Linked DNA regions of Notamacropus eugenii. The protein of the gene in region 1 interacts with the protein of each later gene in a biochemical or structural test. Links are inferred from orthologs where the notes say so. Each region holds a gene or a part of one and is shown on either strand. Other genes may lie near its edges.

Evidence for each region.
Region 2: the proteins of STX4 (region 1) and SNAP23 form a complex in vitro, tested with the Homo sapiens proteins (4 studies listed by BioGRID). The link is inferred for Notamacropus eugenii from reciprocal best matches to the Homo sapiens genes STX4 and SNAP23.
Region 3: the proteins of STX4 (region 1) and SNAP25 form a complex in vitro, tested with the Homo sapiens proteins (3 studies listed by BioGRID). The link is inferred for Notamacropus eugenii from reciprocal best matches to the Homo sapiens genes STX4 and SNAP25.

Annotation. Positions count from the first base shown.
Region 1 is NC_092874.1:377,693,967-377,705,128, forward strand, and holds the start of STX4 (syntaxin-4), read right to left. Parts: upstream 4,331-11,162; 5' UTR 4,095-4,330; intron 1-4,094. UniProt on the Homo sapiens protein: Plasma membrane t-SNARE that mediates docking of transport vesicles. Necessary for the translocation of SLC2A4 from intracellular vesicles to the plasma membrane.
Region 2 is NC_092878.1:28,889,319-28,900,568, forward strand, and holds the start of SNAP23 (synaptosomal-associated protein 23), read left to right. Parts: upstream 1-6,635; 5' UTR 6,636-6,827; intron 6,828-11,250. UniProt on the Homo sapiens protein: Essential component of the high affinity receptor for the general membrane fusion machinery and an important regulator of transport vesicle docking and fusion.
Region 3 is NC_092872.1:583,449,092-583,460,402, reverse strand, and holds the start of SNAP25 (synaptosomal-associated protein 25), read right to left. Parts: upstream 4,616-11,311; 5' UTR 4,166-4,615; intron 1-4,165.

The DNA.
Region 1 (11,162 bases):
GAAGGAGCACACACAAGAATCTTGTTAGCAAGGACTAAGAAAGAGACCCCCTTGTAATTGTCACAGAACAACCTATTTCGTTTTTCTTTTTTTCCTTTGTCTGTCTTTTTAAAAAATTTATTAATTTATTTGTTTTCAGTTTTCTACAATCACTTCCATATATCTTAGATTTTTTCCTCCTTCCTCCCCATCCTTTCCTGCTCCCTCCTCCTCCCTAACCAAGACAGTGTGCAATCTTGTATAGGTTCTATAATACATTGTTGTTAAATACATTTTCACCTTAGTCATGTTGCATAGAAGAATTAAAATGAATGGGAGAAACTATGAAAACAAAACAAAACATAATACAAGAGAAAATGGTCTACTTTATTCTGCAATCCAGTTCTTACTCTGGATGTGGAAGGCATTTTGCCTTGAGTTCACTGGGAGTTTTTTAGGTCCTTGCATTTCTATGAATCAGAAATTCCTTTTTCTTGATAGAGATGGACAATGGAGGCATCTTTGATCTCTTGGGGAATAACATCTTTTTGCCATATGATCCAGAAGATTTTTAGTCAGTTTTTGCATGAACACTAACCCTTTGCCTTGTAGATTTCTGCTGGAATGGAATCAGCACCTGTCACTTTGCCCACACAAGAGGAGCCTAATGGCATTCAACTGCTTTTTCAGTTGGAAGTTTAGCTAAAGAGGTGTTGACTTCAACCTGTGTTATATCACCAATGGCTTCAGCATTGGTGACATTCTGTTGAGAATAGTATGGAAGTGGTCAACTATATTGATAATGCATTTTTGCTTATTGTTAACATAATTTTGTTTCTTAATGGGAAGCTCTTTCCCACCCATTAATGGGCCTGCCCATTAAGGGGAGTTTGATTTGGAAAGATTTGTGGGAAGACCCACATCTTTTGTTTATTTTCTAATGAGACACTGGTTATCAAAGGGTGTGATGCCCTCTGGCTCTAAAAAGTGTATAAAGACTCTGAGGTGAGGTTTTACTTTGGAGTTTAGTCTTGGAAGAAGGTTTTGGTGCCAGACGAGACTTTGGGAAGCCACTAAGCAGCCCCCTAGCTTTGAAAATCCAGATATTGGTGCTTCTCTCTGGTAACCATGTATGCATGTAATAGTCAGACAATTGGATCTGTCTGTTGATCTATGATGTATATATTGCTTATGTCAGATAGTTGGAAGTCACATCTGTTGATTTTCATTTCTCTGTATTTTCTCTGAAGTTTAGGGTTCTGACTTTTTTCCCCTGAACTAATTGAATGATACTTGTGCTTAATTAAAGTCATTGTTGACCCCTCACAAGTTGCCTTTCCTTTTAGAAAAGCAGATCTCAGAACCTGTAATAGCAAGCCCCCCATGTATGTCAAGGTGCTTTCTGCTACATCAACCCATCTCTCCAGGATCATGTCCTTATCACTGATTAGTGTGGCTCCATCAACACTGAGTAGCTGAGATGCATCAAAGATCTTTGATCCATAAATAGCCTTAAGGGCATTGTAGAAGTGCTTTAAATTGTTACTATTAAAATAAAACTGAATCACTTCTGTCTTCTCACTGATCCAAGAATCCTGCATCTCTCTAAGCTTCTTTTGCACTTTGCTCTTGATGAAATTTTAAAACTGCCTTCCTAGAACTGGGAGAACTGTCCTGTTGTTAAACATTGTGGAATTCTCATTTTTTATATAGTAGTTTCTGAATTTCCCCATGATTTTCATCAAACCAATCCTGATGTTTGCAAGTGTTTTGACCCAAAGGAGCAAATGTGATGCTGTTCACCAAAACTCTGAAAGTTGCCCACTCATTTTCTGCTCCATTGTTGCCAACCATGGATAGGGATGAAGACTAAACCCATGATTGCATTGCTGTGGGAAATTCCCTGATGAGGAAACCCCCTCTACCAATTCCAGTAGGCACCTTTAATGTAGTACAGAGTTGACTAGACTACTGGGAGATTAAGTAATTTGCCCAGAGTCATAAAACCAGTATGTGTCACAGGTAAGATTTAAACCCAAGTCCTCCTGGTTGGAAAGACCAGCTCCCTATCCACAAGACCCTGCTATCTCTCTCACACATGTGCACAGATTTAGAGCTAGAAGGAACTCAAAGATCACCTATGCTAACCTTCTTATTTTTCAGTTGAGAAAAAAAATTTTCAAATGGCTTTTTTCAAAGTCACATAGTTAGGAAGTAACTAAACCAGAATTCAAACCCATGTCTTTTGATTGCAGGTATCAACACACATACTAAAAAGAAGGTATATGTGTATTAACCAGACATATACCCATATAAATACATGTATATGTGTGTATCTTATAAATATGTGTATGTATGTATATGCCAGGCAGTGCTTAGGCCAGATGACATTTAGGAAATTGCATAGTCCTGTGAGTATATCCTAAGTGCTCACTGCTTCGAAAGATGATCTCTTTAATACCAATATTCTTGGGGTGGTGCCTTGTGTTTGTGAACCATGGAACACCACAATTTCAGAATCAATATTACAGATGACTTAAAGGGAAAAGGGAAGTGAACTGTAGTATGTTACCAAGAACAATATATGTTATAAAAGACACCAGGGGATGACAACTAAATGCACCCTATCATATCTGCCATCTGTCCCAATGTTTACTCTCATTTTCCTGTTATTAAAATGGAAGCAATAGTAGGACATACCTAGCAGTGAGTCTTCACAGAACTATTTCAAAACATCTGTTGTAATAAAGGTTGATTAGGGGAACCCACAATTATTATTATTAACAGCAACAATAATAGAGAATACTCAGTGTTAATGGAGAAAACCAAGCTGATTTAAACTACTATACATTTATATTACGTAACCTCAACTGGGCATTCACTGCTATTCAGCTTTACCTCTACTGACTCACACAATGTCAATATAAAATCATGTCTTCCCTCCAGATCTCAGTTCCGCCTTCCCCACTTAGCATATGACTGCTAAAGGAGTTGAATCATATCAGTCTTAAAATTCTTGGTATAAAGGAAACAAGAAACAAGAGGAAGTTACATCTAAATGGAAGATAAATCCCAGTACACCTTGAAGAGGCAAAGAAAGGAGTTGCTCTTATAGTATAGCCAATGGTAGCAACATTGTTATTGTTCAGTCATATCTGACTCTTTGTGACCCCACTTGGGGTTTTCTTGTAAAAGATACTGGAATGATTTGACATTTCCTTCTCCAGCTCATTCATAGATGTGGAAACTGAGGCAAATAGGATTAAGTGGCACCTAGTTAAGTATCTAAGGTTAGGTTTGAACCCAGGAAGATGATTATTTCTTCTTTCTAACTTCAGGCTCAACCATCCAGCTGCACCCCCATCCCATCTAAGAAATGCTGTTTCATGGGATATTTGGTCATCTGGTATTACAGTACTGATAAGTGTTTGTAAAAAGACCACCATGAAAATAATTGTAGCTTTTGGACCAATATTGATTGTTGAGGATGAAGAGGTAGGTAGAGAAATTCTATAAAAACATTGATAAGGTCCTCCAAAGTAAAGCAGCATATATTTTGATGCTTAATAACTTCAATAAAAGTGAAAAAAGTGAAGATAAAATGTAAATGAGAAAGCAGATTTTAAGAAAAAGGGATGAGAGAAGTCAAAGACTTGTAAATTTCACAGAACCCTCATGCCTTTATCTCACAAACATTTTCTTCAAGAAAAGACATAGTAAGGTTCTACACATGGTGAGCAACAAATAACATTGCAAAAAATGAAATAGATTTTATGCTAATGGACAGAAAAATGCATTAGTGGTGTAAAATTATCTTGGATCAGTTATTTGTGTACAATCAGATATGTTAAGCAAAGGTCAAAATTATTAAAAAGTAAAGAGAACAATAATGAAAAAGTATGAGTTCCTATTTAAACAACTCAATCCTAGATTATTTAAACAAATAATCAGCAATGAAAATTGGGAAATGGGGATCCAAAATGACATTGATACCAATGAAAATTTCTTTTATACAGAAGACTAATGACTGTGGCTATTTTCACAATAAAAAGACCCAAAGGAGCTTAATTTAGTAAACAATGTTTAATGCTTCATTTAGTAAACATTTTACTTACTTGCCAAGTTGAGAGAGATGGGGGCCAAAGGCAACTTCTTCATTTGCCAAAGGCAAATTAGACTACAAATTTTTTCAAAAGGGGGCAGATCCAAGATGACAGAGTAGAAGGACAGACCTGTAGAAGCTCTCCCCGCATAGCCCATAAAATACCTGTAAAAAATGACCCTAAGCAAATTCTAGAGAAGCAGAAACCACAAAACAACAGAGTGAAAGAGATTTCCAGCCCAAGACAGCCTGGAATGCTAACAGGAAAGATCTATTGCACCAGCTCGGAGTAGAGCACAGCCCAGTCTGGGTCACAAGGCAAGGACAAAACTAGAGCAGGCTCCAGGGTGCAGAATCATGTGTAGCAGCTGCAGTTCCCAGATTTCTCAACTCACAAACGTCAAAGATAGCTTCAAAAGTCAATGAGAAAGCTCTTTCCCCTGTGTGAGAGGGGAGCATGGTCTGGCCCCAGCACTAGCCCCTAGATGGCAGCAGCCACTGTGCAGCAGTGTCCACTTTTGGAGCCCTCAGCCTAAAGACCCTGGGGACACTGAGCTGCTGATCTGAGTCTCAGTTCTGAGTGGCAGTCCTGGGGTGAGGAGGAGCACTGACATGGTGGAGCTGGTGGAGGCTCTGGAGAGGGAATCCTACTCACAGATCCTGGGCAGAAAAGAGTGCTTGTAGTTGCTCACAGACCAGAGAACAGGTTAGGAGAGGAGTAAACTCCTCTTCCTTGATTGTACCATCTTGGAGGCCCTGAGAACTTACAGGTCCCTAGAGTATAACCTCCATTTGACAAAGGACTCAAAAGTCAAGTAACTGGCTGGGAAAATGCCCCAAAGGGAAAAATAATACTATAGAAGGTTACTTTCTTGCTGTAAAGGTATTTTCTTCCTTCCTTTCAGATGAGGAAGAACAAAGCATACCATCCGAGGAAGACCTAAAAGTCAAGGCTTCCAAAACCTCCAAAAAAATATGCAGTGGTCTCAGGCCGTGGAAGAACTAAAAAAGGATTTTGAAAATCAAGTAAGAGAGGTGGAGGAAAAATTGGGAAGAGAAATGAGAGCGATGCAAAAAAGTCATGAAAAGCAAGTCAACAGCTTGCTAAAGGCAACCCAAAAAATGCTGAAGAAATTAACACCTTTAAAAATAGACTAACCCAAATGGCAAAAGAGACCCAAAAAGCCAATGAGGAGAAGAATTGCAGAACTGATTTATTAATTAAATTAATAAAATAATAAATAAAAAATAATAAAAAAATAAATTAAATTAATTAAAAAGCAGAATTGATCAAATGGAAAAGAATGTCCAAATGATTACTGAAGAAAATAATTCCTTCAAAATTAGAATGGAGCAAATGGAAGCTAATGACTTTATGAGAAATCAAGAAATTATAAAACAAAAATAAAAGAATGAAAAAATAGAAGACAATCTGAAATATCTCATTGGAAAAACAATTGACCTGGAAAACAGATCCAGGAGAGATAATTTTAAAATTATTGATTTACCTGAAAACCATGATCAAAAAAAGAGCCTACACATCATCTTTCAAGAAATTACCAAGGAAAACTGTCCTGATATTCTAGAACCACAGGGTGAAATAGAAATGGAAAGAATCCACAGATAACCTCCTGAAAGAGACCTGAAAAGGAAAATTCTTAGGAATATTGTAGCCAAATCCAGAGTTCCCAGGTCAAGGAGAAAATATTACAAGCAGCCAGAAAGAAACAATTCAAGTAATGTGGAAATACAATCAGGATAACACAGGATTTAGCAGCTTCTACACTAAGGATCAAAGGACTTGGGATATGATATTCCAGAGGTCAAAGGAGATAGGATTAAAACCAAGAATCACCTACCCAGCAAAATGGAGTATAATAAATACTTCAGGGGGAAAAATGGAAATTCAATGAAATAGAGGACTTCCAAGCATTCCTGTTAAAAAGACCAGAGCTGAATAAAAAATTTGACTTTCAAATACAAGAATCAAGAGAAGCATGAAAAGTTAAACAGGAAAGAAAAGCCATAAGGAACTCATTAAAGTGGAACTGTTTACATTCCTACATGGAAAGATATTATTTGTAAATCATGAGACCTTTTTAAGTATTAGGGTAGTTAGAGGGAATATACATACATACATACATATATATATATATATATATATATATATATATATATATATATATATATATATATATATATATATATATGTAAGTGGGTATGGGTATGTATGTGTATATTATATATGTGTAGGTATGTATATGTATATGGGTATATGTGTGTATGTGTGTGTATATATACACACACACACACAGAGGGCATAGGGTGAGTTGAATATGAAGGGAGAATACCTAAAAAAATAAAATTTACTGTTGAATAGAATGTACTAGGAGTAAGACAAAGGGAGAGGTAGAATGTAGCAAATCATCTCACATAAAAGGGGGAAGAAAGAGCTTTTACAATGGAAGGGAAGAGGGGGACGATGAAAGGAAATAATTGAGCCTTACTCTCTTGGGATTTGGCTTAAGGAGGGAATAACACACTCAATTGGATATGCAAATCGATTTTACCCTGCAGGAAGGCAAGGAGGAAGGGGATAGGAGAGGGAATATAATAGAAGGGACAGCAAATTGGGGAAAGGGATAATCAAAAGCAAATACTGTTGTGGGAGGACAGGTCAAGGGAGAGAATGGAATAAATGTAGGGCAGGATAGGACAGAGGGAAATGTCTTTTACAACATAACTATTATGAAAGTGCTTTGCATTGTTACACATGTATGACCTATATTGAATTGCTTGTTTTCTCAATGATGGTGGGTAGGTGGGGAGGGAGAGAATATAGCACTCAAAGCTTTAAGAATGAAGGTTAAAAATTGTTTTAGCATGCAACTGGAAATTAAGCTATACAGGCAATGGAGTATAGAAATCTATTTTGCCCTACAGGAAAATAGAGGGGAAGAGGGATGGAAGAAGGGTGGGTAGTAGAAGGGAGGACAGACTGGAGGAAGGGGTGAATGGGGTTCATGCTGTCCTGGGGTAGGGGATGGGGAGAGATGGGGAGAAAATTTTGAACTCAAATTCTTGTGGAAGTGAATGTTAAGAACTGAAAAATAAATAAATTATATAAGGAAAAAAAAAACCTTGGGTGGGAGCTGAAATATGAGCTGAACTTTGAGGGAAGGTGGGGATTCTAAGAGGTAAATAAGGTAAGGAAAGGGTCAATTCCAGACCAGGGAACAGATAGTTTGTACAAAGACTGAAGATATAAGTTTTATATATGAGGAAAAGAAAATGGGACACATTGACTGGATGGTAGAATGTGTGAATGGGAGTACTATTTGCTTGGAAAGTTATGTCAGATCAAGTTTGTGAAGGATTTTCAATGCCAATAAATGGAGGTTGGATTTGGTGGTCCATAGTCTTCTTAAATTTCTGAATCTAGTGTCCTTTCTAGGTTTAGAGGCAGTTTATGTGTCTTTTTTTTCTGGTGTTAGTCAGTCAGCAGGCATTTATTGGGTGCTTAATATTTGCTAGACATTGTTAAGAGCTGGAGATACATGGAAAGCAGAAGAAAAAACACACAACATGGTCTCTATCTTTAAGAAGGCCGCATTTTACTGGGGGGAGAAAACATGTAAATAGTTATGTACATAACAGATTTTTACATTGTAGATGGGAGGTAATCTTGAAATGAAAGGCACTGGCAGTAAGTCAATAAACATGTATTAAGCACCTAAAAAAAGAATTTTTTTCAAAAATTTTACAAAGGATGGTGGACAATTATTAGCAATCTAGCCTTAAAGCAGGGAGAAGTAGTAGAAGGTACAGCTAGTTTAATGAAACTTTTGCAAGAAATCCAGCTCCACAAGGTCATCCAAAAGGTATTTGGAGACTAAAATGAAAGGACAACAAATAGAAGAAAAATACAAATAATCTTTAAAGAATACTATGGCAAACTTTTCACCAGTAAGGGAACCTTAATAGTCCACACTTGGACCCTAACATATTCCAGGATACGCTCATAGGGGAGTTAGACATGCCATTAATAAATACAAAGATAGGAAAAGCAACCTGAGTGGATGGAGTAAGTATATGCAGAGGAGATTTATGCTAAAGAACATGCAGTTGTGGGAGAGCTAGAGTCAATGTGTAAGGTTCTGAGTCAGGAGAACATACCAAAGACATGTTTAAAAGAATCAAATAAGAGGACATCAACAGCTATCTATCTATCTATCTATCTATCTATCTATCTATCTATCTATCTATCTATCTATCTATCTATCTGTCTGTCTTTCTATCTATCTATCTACCTACTTTTCTACCTATACATAATCTTTATTCAATTCACATATATAGAATTCAAGAGAATCCTCAATTTTGTGGGGAACAAGCAGAGTTTCAGAAGTGATATTTCAAAAAGAACATCGTTCCAAAATTGTTTGAAAAATATAAAGAATAGAAGATCTTACTATGTTCTTTGTTGATTATTCAAAGTATTTGAATCAATGGGGCAAAATGCCACCTTAAAGGCTCTTTTCTGATGAGATGCCTCTCTATCTACATTAAATCACTGAAGATTTCTGATAAGATGTAAAAGTAGAAATCATAATCATCATAAAACAGGAAAGACTCTCTTCCCCTTATATATTTGTCACTGTACCGGTGCAGAAAATAAATGGGGATTCTCTGTGGATGGTGAGGTCCTATAGATATTGTTGCTTGGGGATGACATTGTATTGTCATCCTCATAAATAAATGGTGCACTGAAAAGACTGTTGGAAAAGATTTGTAACTGTTCAAAGAGTTTGGCCTGACCATCCAAAAAGACCATTATGAATGTCTCTCAGATTATGACATATGTTTACATGGAAAGTCTATAGAGCTTCTCTATTAGTCTATATAACTGGTATAAACAATATAAATGGATAACAAATTGAAGTAGGAGTTGAACAGAACAGGGAGAATGGGATGAATTGTTTTCAGAAAATTATGGAACTCCTTGAATGATCCCAAGTTTTCTATGGACATAAAGGACTATCTTTTAAATGCCAACTTTCTACTGGTGTTCCTGTATGACAAGATATGAAATAGAACAGTCTCTGAAGAATTGAAATAGATTTGCAAGTTAATCTAACAAACATTTAAAAAACAATCCATTCTAATATTGCACAAATTGTCATTCTATCAAGAATGTAGTATTGGTTCAATATTGTTGTTATTCAGTCATTTATTGGTTGTGTCTGACTCTTTATAATGCCATTTGGGGTCTCTTTGGCAAAAATATTTGAAGTGTTCTGCCATTTCCTTCTCCAGCTCATTTTACATTTGAGAAAACTGAGGTAAACAGGATGAAGTGACTTCTCTAGGGTCACAAAGTCAGTAAGTGTCTGAGGCTGGATTTGAACTCACAAAGATGAGTCTCCCTAACTCCAGGCGTGGTACTCTATCCACTGCACCACCTAGCTGCCCTTGGTTCATTATTAGGAAAACTACAAATATTATAGACCATGTTAGTAATGAAACAATAACATCCACATGAGTATATCAAAGTGTAGTGAGAAACTCTTGGAAAAACCACTATAACACCTATTTATGTTAAAAACATAAAAACAAAAACAGGAATAAACAGACTGTTCCTTAATGTGTTGAATAGTATCTACCTAAAAACAAGTTCTAGCATTATCTGTAATAGAGAAACTCTAGAAGCTTTTTCAATAACATTAGGGGTAAAGTAAGCACGCCCACTGTCACCACTATTATTTGAGATAGTTCTAGAAATAAGAAAACAAAAATAAGTTCAGTTCATAGGCAGAAAGGAAACAAAATTATTGCTTTCTGCAAATAACATGATGGTTTGCTTAAAGAACTTAGTGAGCCAAATAAAAACTAATTGAAACAGTAACCAGTGAAGTAACAGGATATATAAAATAACCTCACAAAAATTGTTAGGCTTTTTATATATTACCAACAAAACCTAGCAGGAGGAGATAGAAAAAGACATTCCATCAAAATAATTAAAGAACATGTAAAATACCTAGGACTCCAGACACTAGAACATATAGGAATTAAATGAATATGACTATAAAATACTTTTTATAGAAATAAAGGCAGACCCAGATAACAAAATATCTACTCAGGTTTGGACTATGCCAAAATACTAAATCATTTTACTTATTTTTTTTATTTCAGTGTAATACCACTTCTAAAGAGTTACTTTATACAGTTAGAAAAATAATAACAAAATATGTCATGAGGAACTAAAGGTAACTTCTGAAGAGAAATAATGAAAAAGAGAGGGAAGAGAAAGAACCTAGCAGTCAGTACCAGATGTACTATAAACTGTAATCATTAAAACTATTTGCTCCTGGTTTGAAAATAGAGAAGTTAATCAGTAAAACAGATTAGGTTCAGAAGACCCAGGAGTAAATAAATCTATTAGCATAGTATTTAGTTAACATAAGTTTTCCAACTACCAGCACAAGAATTTAGCAAAAGCAACTAAAGAAGCTGGAAAACAGTCTGGCAGAAATTAAGTTTAGACCAACTTATCACACTGTGTATCATAATTAGCTCCAAATGGAAATGAGGTTTAATTATAAAAGCTCATGTCTTTAACAAACTAGAAGAGCAAGTAAGGAGATACCCTTTACAACTATGGGTAGGGAACTATTTCTTCATCAAACAAGGAATAGAAGGGACAGAAGATACAATGGGCAATTTTGATTGCATAAAATTGAAATGTTTTTACCAAAAAAAAAAAAAACCTAATGCAATTAGAATTAAAAGGGAAAAGTTATTTAGAGAAATATTTGTAGCACATTTCTGAGCTAAATGTTTGATATCTAAGAAATATAGAGAGTTTATATATATATAAACAACTGCCATTTTACAATAAATAAATACTCAAAAGATATGAATAGACAATTCTCAAAGGATTAACCAAACCATTAACAATTACTTGAAAAAATGGTCCAAATCACTAATGCAAAATTAAAATAATACTGAAATTCCATTTCTCATCCACTACATTGATGAAGATGAAAGAAATGGAAGTGACCCTTGTCAAAGGAGTTAGGTAAGT
Region 2 (11,250 bases), on another chromosome or scaffold:
AATTATTTTGAACCTGAAACTCACATCCCTTAGATTAATGACATTTAAGGGAGTAGTTAGATATAATTCTAGCCAATTACTCAATCTCTCTGAGGAGAGCAAAATGGCTGCCTCTGGTCCCCAACTTCCTGCTTTCCCTTCTGGTAAGAATTAAAGTCTTCCTTATAGAAGGGATAGGTGGAAAAAAGACTAGAGATGCCTATTCTGCCTCCCTTCAAGCCACATAGTGATACTCCCCTCATCTCTCCCCATCCCCAACCATGTTATATAGGGGGACAAGTAGGTCTTGTCACATATAGCTTTTTCATACATAGTTGTTTGTATGTTGTCTACCCCATTAGATTTTGAGCATGATGAAGGCTCAGGAAAGATAGAGGAACCCCAAGACTGGAGTTCCCTATGTGGATCGCCTGGAAAAGAGTTTCATAGACTCAAGTATTTTTAAGGTCAAGGTGATAAAAATTTATTATGCTTTTCAGTAGGGAACCTGCAACATTAGAGGATACAGTTAAGTTTATATAGGATATTTTATAGTAAAGCATGTGCTGAGTGTGATGACTAGGTGATTTAGGGTAGGATTAGGGAGTGGTTAAGGAGTGGTTAATTCTTAAAGGAAATTGCACTTTTAGTATCTACTGGACAGCTATTTCACCCAAAGTTCATCAAGAAATCGTCTGGGGGGGAGGGTGCTACATGTAAGTGTGGTTTCAGACCTGAAATGTCACTAAGTCAACTAATGGTCAGGACTGGCTAAGTAATACCAGGCTGCTGTTATCAATGTCTTGTTAGATAAGATGAATGTAAGGGAGTATACGTATGTCTAAGTCTAGGATACATATAATTGGTCAGTGAGTGGTAAACGTTGTTATGACCCAGTGCACAGCCAGTTCAGCCAGTACACAGCTGGTTCACACTAATAAATTCTATATGTGCAGCTGGCTACTGTATCAGGAAGGGAGATAACTGTTGTTGCTGGGGCAGGTTTTGTCCTTGGGCTGCGGAGAAACTGCCTGGGATAGTGTTTTGAGACTAGGGAGAAGTGTGATTTTTAAAGAGAAATGTGATTTTAGAATTGGGGCCCAAACACATGCACCCAAGCACCCCATCAAGCACCTTGAGAATAGTGACTGTTTTTTGCCTTTCTTTGTATCTCCAATGCTTAGCATAGTGCCTGTGCATAAATAGGCATAATAAGTACTTATATACTGACTGAACACAGGTTGATGTCAGGAACTTCAAAGAAAGGAGGGACTTAAAAGGAAGGAACTATAAAAGCAGAGTCTTAAGGTCAAGGAGTAAATCTGGGCCTTGATCCTTGCAAATGTGAACTGGCAATTTGATGGGAAAAGGGTTGACTCTCAAGATGAAAATACCTCCCCCTTTTTACATATTATCCCATTATTCCCTGCCTTCATTTGTCACAATGCAAGTTCAGATTACAGAACTAATAATTCTGCTCTCATCTTTTCCCCCTCCAGTGCAGTAATTAGACCAACATTGAGCAAAACTAACCAATACATCAGCCAAATGACAGCATCTACAATATGCCATGCCCATTGTCACCCACTTCTGCAAAGGGAGGAAAGTGCATTTTATTTTCATTTCTTCTTCAAGGGAGATCTTGTCCACTTTAATGACAGAGGTATTGTTTTATTTTGCTCTGCTTGTTCTTGTTTACATTTTTGTAATCAATAAAATTCCCTCTTGAGAAGCCTCAAACCCTTAGGGTAGTACTATAGGTACCACCTAGTAATACTTAGATAGGCCTCATATGCCTTTCTCTTCTGAGGGAGTTTGAACCTTGTATGCAGTTCATATTTACAACCTAACCAAATTGGCCAGTCATCCTCAACGAGGTGTTTGTGGGTCAACAAATACCTAGGCCAGGAATAATACTTGCCCCCAATGGGAGTGCCATCAAACCTATCAAGGAAATATAACCAAAGTCTCAAGGAATGGCCTCATTTTTTAACTTTGTCCAGGCTTACTCCTTGGTCATATGTATATAATAGATATTCATGAAGTTCCTGTTGTTTGTAAGGTACTGTGCTAATTTATAGGTTAGTATATAGACCTTGATTGTGTGGATTTGCTTCTGGGTCTCTGCACAAGAAGTGGAAATTGGCAGTATGGAAGACAGAGAGCTGCAGTAGCGGCAAGTGCCAGGTGAAGAGGAGGGAAGAGATTGCATGGTCCTAGGAAGTATAGGTATAGGTAGCTTAGCTCTTCCCTGGCACTGTTCCTGGAGGTCTGTTTTGGAAGACAGAGTGGCAGCAGGTGGTATGGGTGAAAAGTGACTACATGGTCTCAGGAAGTGTTGAATCCTTTACTGAGCCTTGCTTTGGACATGCCTTCCATGTGCAAGGCGCTGTGCCAAGATTAATTTGAGGAGGGAAAAGTTAATGAGAGAGTACTGTCAGAGGATAAACACCTTCTTTGTCCGTTTTACAGAATGTGGAGCCCAACTTAACATTAAACTCTCATCAAAACAGGAGGGCCACAGAATGACTTTTCTCTGTACAAACTAGAGATCTTTTTCTCTATTTTTGTGGGACCTTATCAGGGGATATCATTCTGCTAAATTCTGAAATCTTTCATGACCTCTTAAATTCTTTCCCCAAAACAAACTAACAAAAACCTAGGGCTTAAGGTGTAGTGTAAAATACAGTCAAATTTGGATGACAAGAGTGTTTTTTTGAAATCTTGCTTTGGAAGGCCAATGTAATCTCAGGGGATTCATTGAGAGGCATTAGTCTTCAAGACTGGGGATATGGTAGTTCCATTGTACTCTGTCTTGGTCAGACAGCATTTGAAATTGGGCACCATATTTTAGGAAAGATAAATTAATATGAGGCCATAAGTATGGAGAAGAGCCTCCAGTGTATGAAAGGTCTGGGAAACTATTAGTCAGAAGAAGATAACATTTAGAAATGACCTGATAGTTATTCATTTCAAGGATATCTAGAAGGCTGTTATATAGAAGAGAGATTATATTTGTTCCACTTGATGCCACAGGGAAGAACTAGAGGCAATAGGTGAATTGCAAAGAGTCAAATTTAGACTTGAAATGAGGAAAAATTTCCTAATAATTAGATATTTCACCAAAAGGTGAAAGGGTTATATCATTGGCTCACATTGAGGCACACAAACAAAGTCTGGATGACCACATCTTAAGTATGTTGTTGAGGGGGTTTTGGTTCAAAAACTGGTTGGACCTGGTGAACGGTGAATTAGGAAATGAAGCAATTTATAGTCTTAGAGAAGTCCCTGGGCAGTAATTTAGAGGCTGAGTTACTTGCCCGAGACTAGTATGTGTCAAGAAGCAGGATCTGAATCTAGGATTTTCTAGTTTCAAGGGTGGCCTTGCTTTGTAGGCATCAAGACGCTTGCCAAATTAAATAATGTTAAAATTTAATGAGTTCTCTTTCTCAGGGATGGTTGTAGTTTCTATTTTTAGTCACTATTACTTTGCCCTTAGGTTACAAATATATTTATATATTTGATTCTAATAAGAAAATTTTAATTCTCAGACTATTCTCAAAGTAAAGAAAAAACTAAAAAAGATTTTTAAAAATTTCTAAAAGGTCACCTGTAGGAAAAGAATCCTACAATTAACTTACATGTATATGTGACTTAAAATGTAGATCCCATCCTATAGGATATAAAGTGTAAATATATAAACACAGCATCTAGCCCACAGTGTATTCTCAAATATTAAAGCAATTGTATTCATATTTATAATTTTGAAATGATAAGATTTTTCTCCTTAGTGTTCCTGTGGCAAATCAGTCAACAAGCATTTCTGAAGCACTGTGTTAAGATCTGGGGATACAAAGAAAGGCAAATACTGGTACCTGCCTTCAAGGAGCTGACCATCTAATGGGGAAATAACATTAAAACAACTACATAAAAGATAAAATAAATAGATTATATATACATATACACACAGAGAATGATTGGAAAATAATCTCAGAGGGAAGTGTGTATGTAGGCAAAAGGCCCACCTAGAAAGACCTCTTCAGTGGGTGAAATTTGAGCTGAGATTTGAAGGAAAGTAGGAGAAGATAAGAAGGGAGAATATTACAAAGATAGGGAAGTCAGCTACTGAAAAGGCACAATCCAGAGATGGAGAGTCCTGTTTGATGAACAGTGGTCAGTATTGCTGGATCATATAGTATATGAAAGGGAAAGTGTAAGAACATTACAAAGGGAGAAAGAGATCATATTATGAAGGCCTCTTAAAGGAAAACATGAAATTTTATATTTTGAGGTAATGGAGAGTCACTGGAGTTTATTTGCTTATTTTGAGTGGGTGTTGTGTTTGAAATGGTCAGACTTGCACTTCATTAGGAAAATCACTTTGACATTTCAGTGGAGGATGGATTAGAGCCAATTTAATTCAATAAACATTTATTAAGCACCTACTATGTTCCAGGCACTGTGCTAAATTCTGGGGATGCAAAAAGCAGCAAAAGACAGTGACTACTCTAAAGGAGCTTACAATATAATGTAGGAGACATGCAAACAAATATATACAAAGCAAGCTATGAACAGATAAATAGGAAGAAATCGATGGAGGGAAAGCATTGGAATTAAAGAGGGGGTTTAGGGAAGGCTTCCTGTGAGAGGCAGGATTTTTGTTCATTGTTTGCCCTTGGTTCTTGAAGAAGACACACCTAAGGAAGGTGATGTCATGACTTGCAAGTGAATTGGATTTAAGTGAGAGAGGGCTGTGCAAAGTCACCAAAAAAATTGCCTTTTTGAGCTAAAGTCTTTCCCAGGTCTCAGTTTTACTGAGGCAATGTCCATTCAATGATTAAAGCTGGGTAAGAAATGAAGAAAAGAACAGCTTTTTCAACCTAGTCAAAAAATTACATATATATTTTTTATGTGCGTGTGCACGCGCGCACACACACACACACACAATCAGTTTAGAAATTAGGAAGCACATCTGGGAGGGAACTGAAGGTTAGTTGATCTAGGCCCTTCCCCAAAATGGAGGAAGCAGGAGGAGCTACATATTAGAAAGATACTGGTATGGTAGAGGGATATTCTAGGGTGAGGAAGCCTCAGTTGCTGAGAAAGGATTCAAGGTGAGATTTTAGTCAGGCCATGGTTTTTAAGTCTATTAAGTTAGAATCACAGCCAGGAGGAGAATAAAAGTTGATTTAAAAAAAAAAAACAACAGATAAATACTGCAATTTTTTTTAAAAATATCTTTGGGAAACAGACCTAATAATGGTATTGCTGAGTCAAAGGTATGCTGTTTCATAGTCCTTTGTTCCTAGTTCCAAATTACTCTCCAGAATGGTTGGATCAGTTCACAACTCCACCAACAGAGCTATTTAGTGTCCCAATTTTCCCACATCCCCATCTAATGTGTCATTTTCCTTTTCTGTCATATTAGTTTAGATTTGTTTTAATTTACATTTTTCTAATCAATAGTGATTTAGAGCATTTTTTTTATATGAATACCAATAGCTTTGTTTTCTTCCTCTGAAAACTGCCTGTTCATATCCTTTGGCCATTTATCATTTGGGGAATGCTTTGTATTCTTATAAACTTGACTTAGTTCTCTATGTATTTGAGAAATGAGTTCTTTATCAGAGAAAATTGCTCTAAAAATTTTTTTACTGTTATGATTACTATGTATTTCCTTCTATTCGTTTCCCCCATTTACCCTCTCTCTCTCTCCTTTCACTTTACCCACCCTCAAGTGTTTTACTTCTGACCACTGCCTCCCTCAATCCAATCTCCCTTCTATCAGCACCCCCTCTTCTTGTCTTATCTCCTTCCCTTCTACTACTCTGTAGGATAAGATAGATTTTTTATACCCCACTGGGTATGTATACTATTCCCCAGGTGAGAGTTTTGTTTTGTTTATTTTTCTGGGTGAGGGACACGTGGGCATGTTTCTAGGCAAAGAGCCAGTAAAGATGAAATTGAAAATAAGTGAGAGAGTGAGGATGAGAAAGGGGGCAGTCTGTTGAAGGAGATAGGATGGAATGGGATCACTTGAACAAGTGGAGAGGTTAGTCTTGGTAAGGAGTAACACCAAAGAGACTAGAGGCAGGGAGATAACCAGAAAACAATAGTCCAAGCATGAAGTGATAAATATGTAGCAGGGTGGGGTGGGAAATTGTGGAAATTGCTTTGCATATTACATTATTAATCGGATCACTTGTTATATATTATGCTGTATCACAGCATATATATGACAACATTATTTATCATATTGTAAAATACGTAATGTGTTTACTTAGAATCCTAAGAGCATTGATTCGCAGCTAGAAGAGTCCTCAGAGGTCACCTAGCTCAAGGTCACCTCACTTTACAATTCTGTATACAAGTTGCAACATAATTTCCTTCACTTCAGGGACTGGGTTGTTTTTGTTTTATCTTCAATCTCTTCAGCACAATGTCTGGCTCGCTAATTAAATACTTGTCGAATTGTTACCAAACCTAGATTTGTGGTTTTTTAGATCTCAGTTGCACCTACATCTGGTTTCACCAAACGCTGGGGAAAAAAGAAACAGAGCTACAGTAGCATGGGAATCCCACCTCTTCCAAAACAACCCAGAACTAATTGGCCAACTGCGAAGCAAGAAGGGTTAAACCTCCCTCTCCTGTACGCTGATTGGCTTGTAGCTCCAGGGGCGTGTTCTGGGCCGTATTGGGCGAAATGCGCAGGCGCCTGCTGGGGCCAGGGTAGGGGAATGTGGGGATTTCTGAGTACGCATGCGTCAGAGAGACCCAGCCCTGGTTCTTATCTTTGGCCAAGTCCGGGTTGTGGAGGATTGGTAGGGGAAGGACTGCGAAGTCTCAGGGTGAGTTGTGAGGGCCCCGGGGCCGGGCCGGGACCGGGGCAGCTGCCGGGCGAGGTTCTGGGCGAGGAGGAGCTGCGCGTGACTTCCAAAAAAATGGTGGAGAGGCGGCTGAGCGAAGAAAAATGAAGGGGGAGAGGCGCCGGCGCGGAGGGGGAGGGGGAAGAAAGACACGGGGGGAGGGGGAGGATACGGGGGGAGGGGAAGACACGGGGGGGAGGGGGAGGGCAGGGAAGTAGCGGGGGCGGGGAGCGTCTGTCCGTCCTCGTCTGTGCCTGGCCTGGGAGGAGGGTGTGACGGTGGGAACCCCTCTAGTGGGTAAGGGAAGCAGGAAAGGGGGTGTGTGTGTGGTGGGCATGGGGATGGGATATGTGTGTGCCCACCTTGTAGTGCAAGGATGCGCTCCTGGGCAGCGAGCGTGTGTAAGTGTGTGTGTATGGGTATGTGTGTGTATACACACACAGTGTGAAGATACACTCATGGGCAGTAGTAGTGTGCCCCCTTCTTAAGTGTGTGTGTATGGGTATGTGTGTGTATACACACACAGTGTGAAGATACACTCATGGGCAGTAGTAGTGTGCCCCCTTCTTAAGTGTGTGTGTATGGGTATGTGTGTGTATACACACACAGTGTGAAGATACACTCACAGGCAGTGAGTGTATGTGTGTATATGTAGTTAAGTGTGTGTATATGTAGGTATGTGTATGTGTGTACACACAGTGTGAAGATACACTCATGGGCAGTAGTAGTGTGCCCCCTTCTTAAGTGTGTGTATATGTAGGTATGTGTGTGTATACACAAACAGTGTGAAGATACACTCATAGGCAATAGTATATATCGATATTAAGAACCACACTTGTTCAGATTAAGAGAGAGTCCAGAGAAACCCGAGAATGCTCCTTAGAAGACTGATAGCTTTGATGCCATCTTACAAAGAGAGAAGAGTGGGAGATAGCTTCCTAAATTCAGGGATGGGGGGTGGGATGAGGATGTTTAAAGCTTCCCTTCCCTCTTCTTGCTCCTTGGTCCTTCCCTTCAAGGCCATTAGTTACTGTAACTTTTAAATAGACAAGTTGGAAAGGGAAGGGTGGTTCTTAGAGAAAGTTGGAAGAAAACACAAGTTGGTCCATAGAGAAGTAGTCGTTTTCCCTCTGCCCCTCATCTCATCAAGATGTAATTAATGACTGGGGGAGGGGAAGGATGTAGTTACTGAGCAGTGGGGAGCCATGTGATGAATGCACTTTGAGCTTTTTAGAAATAAGGTATTGCAAGTATTAACAGAGACATCATTCTGTGTATCTAAAACTGATCTTTAGCCTCTATGGTGAGGCCCATCCAGTATGACGTGGTTACTGTCACACTAGGAGTAAAAATAGGATGTACCATTCTGGTCCATACTAGAAAATGCCTAATGAATTTTAAATCTGGGTATCATTATCCATAGTTTCCTGGGAAGTCTTAGTATTGCAATTATATTTTATGACCTAATATATTAATTTAAAATTTTCTCTAGTCCTGTCACTACCTAAGCCAAAAATTTGCCTAAGGTGTACAGTGTTTATGAAATATTCTTCATCATTAAGTACTGTCAAAGCATATGGGATTACATATGCTTTATAATCCTTATTTTATATAAAAAAGCAGCAAATATTAGGACAAATGTAGTTGCCCCTTTTCCAAGCACCAGAACATAATTAAAGTAATCATAAATTACAGCCCTGTAGCGTATGCATCTATCAGCTCTAGTAGTTCTCTTTAAGCAGTTTGCGACATGTGGTCACTTGCTGGTTCCTATGATTGTCATTCTTGTCAGTGTACTTTTGGATTCAAAGTGACTTTTGTTATTTTACTTCCTGATAATATTGTACCACTTCTTCTTCCCTGACCCTGGTATGCAGCTTTACATAAACATTTGTGGGACTTTCCGCTTTTTGTAGATAACTACTGTTACAGCATATTAATGTTCTTGTTTCTTTCATTTCAGTTACCTTAAGAACAATAACACCCCTCCTATTTAACCAAGAAGAAAAAAAAGGCCTGGGCAGCCAAAATGATGTGACAGATCCCATGTGCTCAAATTGACTCCCTTAAGGACCAAACATCAACAGAAGTAGCTATTCTGTTCAGCACAGTTTTAATGGATTGCTATTTGGTTTCCCAGGTCATAGTAAATTAGAGGGGGAAAGGTGGAGTTCATACCTAAGGGATAGTATTGGAAGGAAAAGTATACTGGAACATGCAAGATAAGGCATGTAATAGTATATGGGGCCATTTAGTATAGGGTTAAATAGCCCTATATACTTCAGTGGTACTGAGGACATCAGTATTTATTATTGTAGAATATAATAATTTATAATTTAATCCTGAATCATAAAGATTAAATTATTTTTCATGTCCTTTGCTTAAGAAGGCTGTAACTTGTATAAAATAGTTTCCAAAAAGTTTTCATCATAAAGTTGATTTAAAAAAATATTGACACTTCAACAGCATTTATCAAGCATCTGCTTTGTGCAAAACACAGAAATACAGAGATGAAAATGACACTGTTCCTGCCCTCAAGAAGTTTACATTCTGAGGGGAATAGGATATGACATAAATGCAGATAAATATAGTTCAAGGTAGAGAATTATTGAGGGCAAAGAAAGATGCAGGCAAAATACTCTAGCATTACTGGAGGAGGAATAGAAAACTACTTTTAAGCCAGAAGAACAAGGAAGGCTATACCTGAATTGTACCTGTAAGCAAGAAAATTCTAAAAAGTGGAGGTGAGGAAGGCTTGTATACTAGGAATAGAAAATGACCTGGCTAAATGCACGGAGAGAGGAGATGTCAAGTTGAGGAATTCTGTACTGTTAAATCCACTTACTTTTCTTAGTTTTATTCTTCACCTATCTGTAGCATTTGAGGATTTTGATTACCTCTTTTTCCCTGAATACTCTGATGCCTGGGACGTTATGACCAGGAATCTTCCTGACACTGCTGTTTCTTGTCTCTTTTCTAGAAGTCTGACTGCTCTTTCCCAGTCATCCCTGATGAATCATCATCTGTGGTCTGCCCACTCTATGTGCGTGTCTTCTAGAACTTGCTGCTGGACCTCCTTTTTTCCTTACTCTACACTCTTTCCCTTTGTGATCTCATTAACTCCTACATATTCCCTTTCAATCACATGACTTCAGGTCTCTTCTCCAGCTAACTGCTGGACATCTCCACCTCCGTGTCCCGAGGCTTCTCAAACTCAGTGTGCCCAGAAGGTTGGTGAAGTTCATGATTTCCCCTCCTGTGCTCTGCATTAGAGCTGGAGTAGCCTCCTTGTTCCTCATGCCTGACTTTCTGTCTCCTTGGCACAAGCTGTGTCCTGTGCTTGTCTTGTTTGTCTTCTTTACCTCTGTCTCTTGGAACCCCTAGGCCCTCACTTACGTCTCAGCTCAGGTGCCATGTCCTGAATGAGGTCCTTCCTGATATCTACTTTCCATCCCTCCCTCCCTTAAAATAAAAATTTATTTTGCATTTACTTTGTATGTATTTCATGTTTGTTTAACTGTGTAGGTATTGTTTCCGTCTAGTAGAATGTCAGTTCCTTGACTGCAGAGACTATTTCAGTTTTGTCCATCTCTGGCATATAGAAGGTGCTTAATAAATACTTGTTCGATTGATTGACAGAAAATACTTCCTCAAAGTACTTTGTTTGGACAAAGTTATGTAATTTAGCAACTCTCTGATTTCCAAACCATGCCAATAATTTAGGATTTGGCTTTATTTTACTTTTTCAGTAGATGATTTTTTGCTTTAGAATGCCATCTTTCAAAGATCTTCTTGGAGATAGTATTTTGTTAAATGCATCAAAGACTGAGGTACGCACTGGATAGAACTTAAATTTTCTTCTTAGACAATCATAAATATAGTAAAATCCTTTACTTAAAGGATAGGACATATATGCAAATATGTAACAAGCTTTAGTAAGAAAAAAAGGGAGTACTTGCTTACTAATTGCTCTAAAAACCTAGTGTTCTGTTTAGCAAAATCATCTATATCTGTTTTCTATGTTTTGGGTAAATGATTAAATAAATATTTTCTGCAGAAACAAGATTTAAAAAAATGTTTTTGGTTGTTAAACTTATGAAACATTTTTTTTTCTGTAGAAAATATTTTCCAGTTATGTGATCTTGGTCAAGTCTTTTTTGAAACTTAGTCTTCTGATCTGTAAAATACTGCAAATATTATTTTCATCTACTTTCCAGGTTTATTGTGAGGAAAATGTGTTGCAAAAGATAAAATACTAGCTGTAAGTGATTGTATATTTTTCTTATATTACTGGCAGATAAGAGATCTGAAGTCAGTCCAAGTTTTTCTAAGTGCAGAATTTATTTATATGTAAGGTTATTGAATCATATTCTGCTTCAGCTGTAAATTTTGAGAAGAGTTGAGT
Region 3 (11,311 bases), on another chromosome or scaffold:
ACTATTTAACGTACCATTCAAAACTTCCCACAATTTCACTACCAACTATGTCAAATGATTCTTCCAACTCCAAAATCCTTACACTCAACCTTTCTAGTCTTATCTTCTCCTGTTTCTCTCCATTGAGAGGCAGTGTGGCATAGTAGAAAGAGCACAAGTCATAGAAGTCAGGAAAAGACATAGGTTTGTATGCCTCAAAAGACAACTAGTTGTGGGAGTATGGGTAAGTCATGTAGCCTCTCAAACCTCATCTATAAATTGAATGATACTAATAACTTTTGTATTTAACTCACATGGTTCTTATGAAGACTAAAGCAGTTAATATATGCAAAATGCTTTGCGAACCCTTAAGTATCATATAAATTATGTTAACTGTTATAAGCCCTCTGATCCAGCTAAACTGGTCTACTTATTATCCCCCAATATGCCATAGACTTTCTTGCCTCTGCATGTCATCTCAATTTGCCCTTCTCCTTTTGTGCCACCTGCCCTGATATAGCATTTTCCCAATTTATTTATTTATTCAAATCACCATCACTATTCAAGTCACAATTAAATTCCTTCTTCATTTGGAAAGTCGTATGTTCTCTGAACTTGTGGAATTGTCAGTTACATTTATTTGTCATTTAATCATATAGTGTCTTTGTAATTTTTTTGGATTAGTGTTTTATCTTTAACTCTTCCCTTCATCATTTAATTTTAGATGATATATTCCTGGAGGGCAGGAATCATATTTTATATCACTTTATATTTCCCACAGTGCCTAGCAGAGTGCTCTGTAAATAGTTGTTTTTCTACAAATATTGATTAAGTAAAATCAGATCTAGTGGGTAGAAGGGTAATAAAACAAGCTTACCCATGATTAAAGCTGAAAAACATTTCCTTACCTCTATGGAATTGAAAATAGTTTTCCATAACTTGAAAAGTAAGATGTTTCTTCAACCTGTATAATCTAAACAATAAATTTAACTCTTTCTTCTTTCTTTATTATTCTGCTGCTTCTAATCATCACACTTATTTGAAGTTACCTCTCATTTTTTTTTAATATTACAAAACCCTGTGTTTGAGGTGGAGAAACTAAACCAGTAGGGACCTCCAACTCTAGACTGAAAGTAATCAACATTCAAGGCCATTCCAATGGGACCACAAATTTCCATAAATCTACTGTTCTTATTATAAAAAAATATCGATTTTTTTGTTTAAATAAAATAAAAATAATAACTTACATTCCTTAGAGCAATTTGGATTTGGGGGTTCAATTAAATTTGTATTTTTTGAGTCAAACTTTAAGACATTAATGTAGACAATCTTAATGAGCCTATAAGCAGGTCCCATAAGAAGAACTATATAATCTTTCCTATCCTTGTCCTTGAACATATCTGCATGTGTTTCTCCTGACCTGACTGTCCAGGCTTCAAAATTTGTTATTTTTAGAAATGCTTTTCCTAAAGTCTCTGACCAAGTAAATGTTAAATTCATCATCAAGTCATTAAAAAATTACCCAGGAGGATATTATGCAATTCTCTCTAAAATCAAACACTTGACTCCTTTTCCCTAGCCTTTTACACTGCTCCCCCCCACTAGCTTCACTGCAGATTCCCCTCCCCCTCACTCCTCCACTAGCAGGGAACAAAAACAGCAGTAATTGCTAATGCCCAAGCACGTAAATCTGGCAGCTCTGGTGGTTTTCTTTTGACGCAACTACGCAGAGGGCTGTCTGGACGTGCGGCAGGGTAGCATTCCTATGAAGTCGAGGCATATTTTAAAAGACTCCTGCCCATCTTTTCTCCTAACCTTCCCGCACCACAAACATGGTTGTTTATTTGCCTAAAGGCTGCAAGGTTACTTTTTAAATAGTTACATGTTTTTGGACAAAATAATAACCAAATAGTTTTATACCCATGCACATATGGCACGCACACACACACACATGCGCACACATACACACACACACACACACACACACACACACACACAACTAAAAGGAAAAGACCCCGGGAAAAAGGCTAAGTGTTTGCTCCCATTTTAGCAAACATGATATAGAAGCTATCACACTGTTATGGTTGTCTGGTAAACATGTTTTAAAATCTTATTTTAATAATTCAGAGGGTACTAAGGTGGCATTTCTGTTCATGCATCATATATATATGCTTTTGGGTACATTTCTGTGTTTTCACTGTTATTTGTCAAAATCACTAAATTTAGCTTTCGATCACTTTATATCAGAAATCTGTGATAACTTTTCTGAATGATTCTAAATGGTTAAATAATTTCATCCAGTGAGTTGTTTGGTCATCATTACGATCTCAGCAGAATTCTGCAATGCCATAACAAACTGCAGCAGATTTTTAGGACAGCATCCAGGTTCAGTAGAACCACTATGATTTTCCTACTGAAGTCGTAATGAAGACCCATTGGGATCCTGTGTCCTGTCATAAATCAACTGTCTATTCTGTCAAAACTAGAAGCGCATTGTTTGATAAGCTAAAGTAGGAGTTAACACATTCTTTTGGAAATGCTTATGGTTGCTTTGTGATCTGAATACAAAGTTAAAGGAATGAATTCCATACACTGTCAGTAACCTGAAACATTTTAGGAATATATTTTAAAGTATATGTGTGTGTGTGTGTATGTGTGTGTGTGTGTGTGAGAGAGAGAGAGAGAGAGAGAGAGAGAGAGAGAGAGAGAGAGAGAGAGAGTGAGAGAGTGAGTGAGTGAGAGAGAGAGAGAGAGAGAGAGAGGGAGGTAGTGGTTCATCTCTAAGAAGAAGAGGGAATCCAAGGGGGGATTCAATATTAAAGTTAATTGTACTTTGTTTACCTATGATATAGTTTAATTAATATCTCTTCCCTTTTTCTTTTCTCTCTCTCCCTCCATATACACACATACATGTGTGTTTATATATGTGTACATATGTATGTGTACATATATACACATTATATACACACATATACAAGTGGATACATGTATGTTTAGGCTCATAATCTCTTAAAACAGGAGACAAATGACAGCAGATCCCTAGGAACACATATTTTCGAGAGTCGCTCAACAACAACCTCCACACACCAATACACGATAGATCTGCCCACCTTCTAGCTAAGTCCCTGTTTAAAAGAGCTTGTTACTTGGGAAAAATTATTTTCACAAGTAAATCCTTAATAAAACAAAAAAGGATAGATATTCTGGTGAATGGGGAGAACTGTCAAATAACAAGTAGCTACTGTTGGAAGGATTTTATCCACTATGATTCTTTTTAAGGATATTTTAAAGGTTATTTGAGAGACCTGCAGTTTTTTCTAGGGCCCGTATTCCAGTCAAGGACTTAAGTGTGCCCCTATCTCAAACGAGACACACTCATTCTGCACCAGGTAGAAGCAGCCGCAACTCAGCAGTTTGGGTTACTGTCCCTGGTGCTGAAAGGTCGACTGCATCAGACGCAGTCTCTCAGCGTCACTCTCCATGGTCCTGGGCCATGGGTGCTCCGCAGAACCAGTAGAAAAACCATTCCGGCCGTCCCAGGAGCAAAAAATCTACTCAGAACGACCCCAAATCCACACCAGGCTGCAGTTTATACGTAAAGCAGACAGCATAAATCAAACTCCTCGGGCATGGAGATTGCTGTTGCTGCAGTAACTGCTTCTTCTTCGTCTGGGTGGGAACTCTTCTCACCCTCCTCTTTCCCTTCTTTCCCCAGTCCTCACCTTACACCCTACCCTCCTCCTTAATAATCAATGGGAGAAGAAAGCATCGTCTTCATATAATCAAGTAATCACAACATTCTTATAATGATGATTGTTTCTGTAAAGAAAATTAGCAACATCTGAACAGCAAAATGACAGAAAAGGAATAAAGAGTGCCCGTCCCAATAACAATTTTAAAAGGATAAGTCTCTTCTGGATATTCTTTCTCACCTGGGTATATCTGCAGTTCCCTCTTTCTCACCCCCTCCCCGACTTCTCCATCATTCTGTTCAGCAAGAAGCTACTTTAGAAGTCAATACGTGTATATAGAGAGTATATAGAAATACTTATATAATGCCTCAACCTGTATACATAAACACTTGTATTCGCACAAACCCATTTTGTATACACAGCAACACATTCATCCGTATCCCTTCTGTTTGTGTAGGCAGAGAGATCCATGGATGAGGAAAAGGGTAGCTTACCTTGACTTCTGTAGAGAGGGCTTCAAGGGACAGTGTTCTCGGAGCCTAGGCAGGTTTCGAGTTTATAGGCGATTTCTGAAGAGGCTGCTGCTGCCGCTGCAGGGAGGGAAGGACGGAACGGTTTGCTCCTGACCTCCCCGAGGTTTCTTCTTGAATGCAATGGGAGCTCTGCCCTCATCAAAGATGGCCGTCCTTTTTGACGTCAGCAGCTTTTAATAGACATCTCATCAAGGGGAGGAGAGAAGGAGGAAGTGAGCTGAGGGAGGGAGAAAAGGAGGGGGAGGAGCTGGGAGATGGTGATAGCTTGACTCAGCTGCTACTGCACCTTGCTGCAATCCTTTGTAATTTTCATCTCTGAGAAATAAGTGAATAACTGAACGAAGATGGTTCTCGTAATTCAATTATACCAGCCTGATGGCGTGGAATAACGGGCCTGTCCGGGCAGTTTTTGTCTCGTTATCTTCCTCCCCCCCAACCCCCCAGTTGAAGCTGTGGTTGAGTCACAGAGGGGGGAGGGTGCGAGGAGGGAGGATAATGCAGCAGAGATTTGTTTTCGCCAAAGGGGAGGGTCTGAAGGGGCATCCCTCTGAAGTCTCTCTTGCTCCATATATGGCCAGTCTACGTGGGCTGCTATTTTTATATGTGACTTCTTTCTCTTTATTAGAGCAGCCCCTTAGATATGGGAATTGCATTAATATGATTTAGTTCGTTCAGAAAATACAATTATTTTTACAATACGTCAGAGGAACCATAATAAGGAAGCAAATGAGTTTATTTTGGAAGTTGGAGACGTGGGTATGGTTGCTTTTAGAATTTATGCTAGTCTTATTGATTACCAGTGATGGAACCTTGTTGCATAGTTGAAACTGAAGTTTGGTATGGGAGCTAGAAAGAAATACCCCGTCTGTGATTTAAATGTTCTTTTTCCCCCTTTTTTGCCACTCCTTCATAACCACACACACACCCCTTTACTCCCTCCCCTCATATATCGTGTCCCCCACTCCCAAAGAAGAAGCGAGAATGTTTTGGCTTGTTGCTTTCGTAAGCCAGCTTCTGATTTACTCTATATTTCTGTATGTATGTGGCTTATAGAACAATCCAGACTTCCGGGGGAAGGCGGTGGGGTAAGGAGGTGCTTAGGGGGATTGGACGTGACAAAATCCTAGTGGTTCATTCATTTCTCAAACAAGATACTTTGGTTGTCTTTTGTGACTGGTAAAGGGCACTTGTTTTAGACTAAGAAAGTGTTAATCCATCTACTTTCTTACTTGTGAGAAAACAAACACAGAATGACTGTCTAGTTGTGCCAAAGCAGCCCACAGCTGGCTGTAGGTTATGTAAATCGGCTTGGGGTGGGAGCATCTTATGACTGTTTCGCAGGTGTTTTGGAAGGTTAGCCCGGGTTTTCCGAGGAGGATGGTGAGTAGGTGGGAGGTGGGGGAAGTGGGGAGGGGCAAGGCGGGGCGGTGGAGCGACGTCTCAAATCCAGCACTGCAGAGTACTCCTAGGGGAAGGACGTGATCTGAAATTCTACCTTGAAGTCTTGAAACTTCACGACTCCCTCCCCAGAGGAGAAAAAGAAAAGATTCCCCTGTAGCTCAGGAGAATCCCTTCAGAGCTTATGGTCCTAGGAGAATTCTCCACCCATCTTGCTCTCTAAGGGTAAAATCAAAACAATATTTTTCTTCCTGATTACAGTCTCCAAAGAGAGGGGGAGAGAGAGGCCCTGGAAAAAAAGAAAATAAAGAAAATGAATTGAGAAGGAGGTCTGCTCCAGAAGAATTTAATCTAAGCTGTTTCTAATGGAGATACCTGGAATTTGTACCCCTTAAACTTTGTTAGTAGTATCACAGGACCAAATGGTAGGTTTGGAAAATCTGATATTACAATACTCAGTAATCATCAATGTTGTGTTTAATATATTGGACGGGTTGTTGACTTTAGAATACATGATTTTTGCATATTCGTGCCCAAATAAAACATTTTAAATCCTTGAAAGGTTATAATAAAAATCTATAATAGCTATAAGTGCTCAATTACCAACAGAACACTGTTGTTTTTTGTTATTCATTGCAAAACAGTTCAGAATATTTAAGGGATGACACACAAACACTGCAAGATGCTTTATGCAGAGACTTAGGCTTCCTTTTGCCAAAGTGTCACTAAGAAAAAAAAAGGCAGCATACAAGCTTTGAAGGAAGCTCTGCAGTGACGAAAAAAATTATTTTCTGAGTGAGACGGTCTGAATGGAAGACATTCAGTCAGAAAGGCTTGTGAAGGAATAGAGGAGGTGGGGGATTTTCCAGGGTGAAAAAACAGAATAGGTAATGCGTCATAGATAGAGGCTCATTCTGCAAGCAAAAATTGTGCAAGATTTGCCTTGAAAGAGCAGACGTTAAAGCTTAATATTTAGATGCTGATGCACTCCAGTGACATCTTTGGGGGAAAAAAAACAAGCCAGAATAGAATGTAAAATTGATCACAGCATCTTTTATTAACTATTTTATCAAGTGACCAACATGATGCCAACATGAGGCATCCTGACCCAGGAAAGATAGCACAGTCTAAACAGTCTAAACTGAGAAACATAAATTGTCAGCCAGTTAGACCACATATCTAGTCTTTAGACAAAGACTGCTTCTCTTAAGTTTTAATGTGCAATTGATAGCTTATGGTATAGTATCTACTTGTGAAAATTATGGTCAATTAACAAGCAGATGGCCTTCCATCCTAGCCAACGCTAAATAAAAACAATGCTTTGGCAATAAATAACCATAGTCAAGTAAAACATAGTCTTACATTGGCCATGTCCAAAAATATGTCTCACTCTGTAAGTCAAGTCTTTCACATCTCTGTCAAGGCTGAGCAGGGTCACCAGTCCTCTGAAATCACAATCATGACATCAATCAGGGTTCTTAAGTCTTTCAAATTGTTCAGTTTTACAGTGTTGTTGCTCTAGTGTAAGTTATTGTGATGATTCTGCACAGTTAACACCGCATCTATTTACAGTGATGTTTGTGAAACCCATTCCCCTGATTTCTTCCTTGTTGGTATGGATTTTTACCTGTGACCCAGATTATGTCAGATAAACCCTACTCCAGGCCTCCTATTTTCTTCTGTAGTGTTTCCGTTAGCCCTCCCTTTCCTTATACCTTTTATGGGAATCAAAACTACAAAAATTACTTGGAGACCCTACGTCTTATTTGATTCCCTCTATGACATTGCAGTTCTTAGGAGATACAGATATTATTCCAACATTTCTTCCCTATAAAGTACCCACCCCGATTTGCTCCCTTGTGTTTACTTTATGTTTTTCTTTAATCCTGTATTTGTATTTTAGAAGTTTCTATTCAGCTTCAGTCTTTTCTTTAGGAATGCTTGAAAGGCCTCTTTTATTAAATGTCTATTTTTCCCCTTTAGGATTCCACTCAGTTTTTCTGCATAATTTATTTTTAATTTCAAGCTTAGATCTTTTGCCTTTTTGAACATCATATTGCATGCTCTTTGTGCCCTTTGAGTTGTTGTGGTTCAGTTGTATCTGACTCTTCATGACCCCATGGACTTGTCCATGAGGTTTTCTTGGCAAAGATACTGCAATAGTTTGCCTTTTCTTTCTCTAGTGTGTCCCATGTTATAGATAAAGAATTGAGGCCAATACAGGTTAAGTGACTTGCCCAGGGTCACACAGCTCGTAAGTGTCAGATGTCACATTTGAACTCAGGTATTCATGACTTCAGGCCAGGTACTCTATCCACTATGCTACCTAGAGACCCCTTTTGAGCAAATGCTAAGTATTATGTGATCTTGACTATCACATGTGGTTTCTTGGTCCTTAAACTCTTTCTGGAAGCTTTCAATATTATTTCTTTGATCAGAGAGCTCTGGATTTTGGCAGTGACATTCCTAGGAATTTTAATTTGGGGGTTACTTTCAGGAAGTTGCCACACATTCTTTGTATTTTCACTTTTGCCTCTCATTCTAAGAGATTTATGAAGTCTCCTCCATTATAGACTGTGTGCTCCTTGAAAGTGAAGAATGTTTTTTAATGTTCTTTTATCCCAAGTGCTTAGCACCATGCCTTGCACACAGTAATTACCTAATAAGTGCCTGTTGTTTAGCTGACTATATCTTTTTGTTTGTTTGTTTAGTTGTTCATCAGGTGATCTGCTCTGGGCTACACAGCCATATTCCATTTCCCAAGTCCAGTCTGCTGGCCTGGGCTGCTGTCCTCCAGGCCTACTTCATATCTCTTGACTCTGAATTTAGACTCTTGATCCCTCTGGGGGACCACTTACTGTTAGGTATGTCTCAGAACTGAATCCATGATCATCTCTGGTCATCCCCACACTACTTACTTAGTTCAGAGTTCTGGGCATTGAGTCCATGCTCTTGCCCATAGCTGCTGACTTGCACTAGTGACTAAGTCTAAGATTGCTCTAGGCTGACCTAGGTTGAAGCTCTAGGTGTCCCATTGCATTACTGGAGAAGGGGGATGGCTAAGTGTGTGATCAACTCTTGGTATACCTGGCCTGCATTAGCCTGGAGAACAAAAACCCTAAATTTGTGATACCAGACCTCCTCGGTTCCATAGTTCCCATCCTTGTTACTTGCCTGTAGGTTGAATTTGTAGTCTTGGGTTGGAAAGATGATTGTACTTTCTCCTTCAGTTTCCAATTTGCTTCTTCACCCAGCATCCTTCTTAGATTGTTGTTGGAAAACTGAGCTGTATTCTTTTCCTTTTTCTCTGCCTACCATGTTGGCTGGTCTCTTTTGTATCTTCTTATAGTCTGAGTTTAAAACATAACCATAATCTTTGCCAACTGGAAAAAATGACATTTATTATACTCAAGGTGAATATATAATGAAATGATGTAGGTCTAATCTGACAAAAAAGCGAGTGAGGATGAAAGAAAATGTGCATCAAAACCATTTAGCTACATAATAATTTTTACAAAGATCCAACAAGTTGAGTAACATCTACGTTGTTGTTCAGTGGTGTCCAACTCTCTGGGACCCCATTTGAGGTTTTCTCAGCAAAGATACTGGAGTGGTTTTACATTGCCTTCTCCAGCTCATTTTATAGATGAGGAAAATTAGGCAAAGAGCGTTAAGCGGCTTGCCCAGGATCACACAGCTAATATCTAAGATTGGATTTAAACTTAGGTTTTCCTGACTCCAGGCTCAGCACTTTATCAACTGAGCCACCTAAGTGCCCAACATGAATAGTGAGAAAATTTCTTGCTTTGCTGGGTGGTTATTTACATTATGTAAATTCAGTGTCTACGGTTTTTCTGGTTATCAATAGCATCAGATCAGAAGTATCTATGAATTTAGCTTGTATTCTGTTCCCTGAAGGGATACAATCCATGTATGTGCAAGCTATTATAATATAATAGGTAACACTGTTTTGTGAAAATTGTCTGTTAGGCATTTCAAAAATTAAATTGAAGCGATTTTGATCTTATACTAGAATATCATATCTTACTTTACCCCTTAATAGTCATTCCCTTAGGGGCAACAGTGGGATTCTGTGTCAACACTTGTAGGTATAAAAGGATACCTAAGTAGGGTAAGGGCGTAGAGGAGGAGATAGGTCTTTGCATTTGTTTAAATATAGTCTTTGGCTGTTTCTGCTTGCGGAGAATGTTTCCACTAGGTAGGCTGACTAATAGTTCAACAAATTAGTTAGTTGATTGTGAATTGAAAGTTTTTTGAAGTGATTCTTTGACAATAGATAGCCAACCATCAAAGTCATCTAATTAGAGAAAATTTGTGTTGTCACAAACCTGCTTTCTTTCCATTTCTTCTATGACAGACAGAAAATTATTGAGGAAAAGGTACTGTGGATGTGAGAACATAGTATATCAGAGGGGCATAATACACCAGAGGGAGATGAAGTAACCAAGCAGAGAACTAGGCTAAGGAATCACCCTATGGTTTTGAGCAAATCACACAAATTGCCTGATTGTATTTAAATATTCAGTGTCTGAGTTATTCAAGTCTGACTGTGGCAGTCATATCAATCAGCCATAATTCATCTTTATGGCAGCATGGACAATTCACCTAGGGCTATAACAACCTTACTTCCAAAGAGATTCTGGCTGGTTTATTTAATTAACAGGTATAGCTGAAATAGTTCTAAAAGATTTAGATGCGAGGAACTGAAACAAAACCTGTTTCTCATTTTCTGCATCTGTATAATAGTTGCAAGAACTTTAATTTCTTCTCTGGCATTATCATTGTAAACGTGAAGCTAAGAGATATGATCCTCTTGTCTCTTGATGAGAAGAAGTAAATTATGCGTGGGGGATATTAGAAAACAATTGAATACATTACATATTCCTACATTCTGAATGGTTTCCTAGTGGTAAAAAATTTGATACAATGAGCATTTTTTTTAACAAACAGCAAATATGATTTATGAAGATGTCAAGCACATGTGTGTTTATGTATGTGATTTGTGTTTATTTGTGTGTATGTACATGTGGGCTCTTGAACAGTTGTCTGGAACAGATTACCAGGAGCAGCATGGTCGAGTGCAAAACTGAATTGTATTAGGAGTCGAGAGACCTAGGTTCTAGTCCCAGCTCCAATACTGACTAATTGCATGAACTTGGACGAGTCATTTGATCGCTGGTTTCCTTTTAAGCTTTGGTCTCGGTTTCATCATTTATTGAATGAGGGGCCTGGACTGGACAATGTATACAGTTTCTCAGCTCTAAGATTCTATGACAGTCAAAATTTTCACATCTTTCCAGACTCTTTAGAAGTCAGTTTTTATAAGGATACAATGTAGGACCTTGGCCATTTTAGGCTAAGGTCTTACCAGATTCTCACTTTGAGTGAGATACACTCATTCAATGAATAGACCTCTTTAAGTAGTTACTCAAGGGATGGCCCCTTTTAATAAAAGAAAAAAAAAGCAAAAAAAAATCAAACTGGGAGGGAATACCCTGAGGGTTCCTGGGTAAAAGAGAAACAACTATTATTTAGTAGTTACATTCACTCTGTGCTAGGTAGGCGGGGACCTGGTGTCCAGTCTATGAACTCTAGAGTGAATTGGGCTCAAGGCTTATTCTAAACTCATCTATAAACTATTTGAAAGCATTTTGGAGGCAGCAGTTCCAGCAGCAGACAGCTCAACAA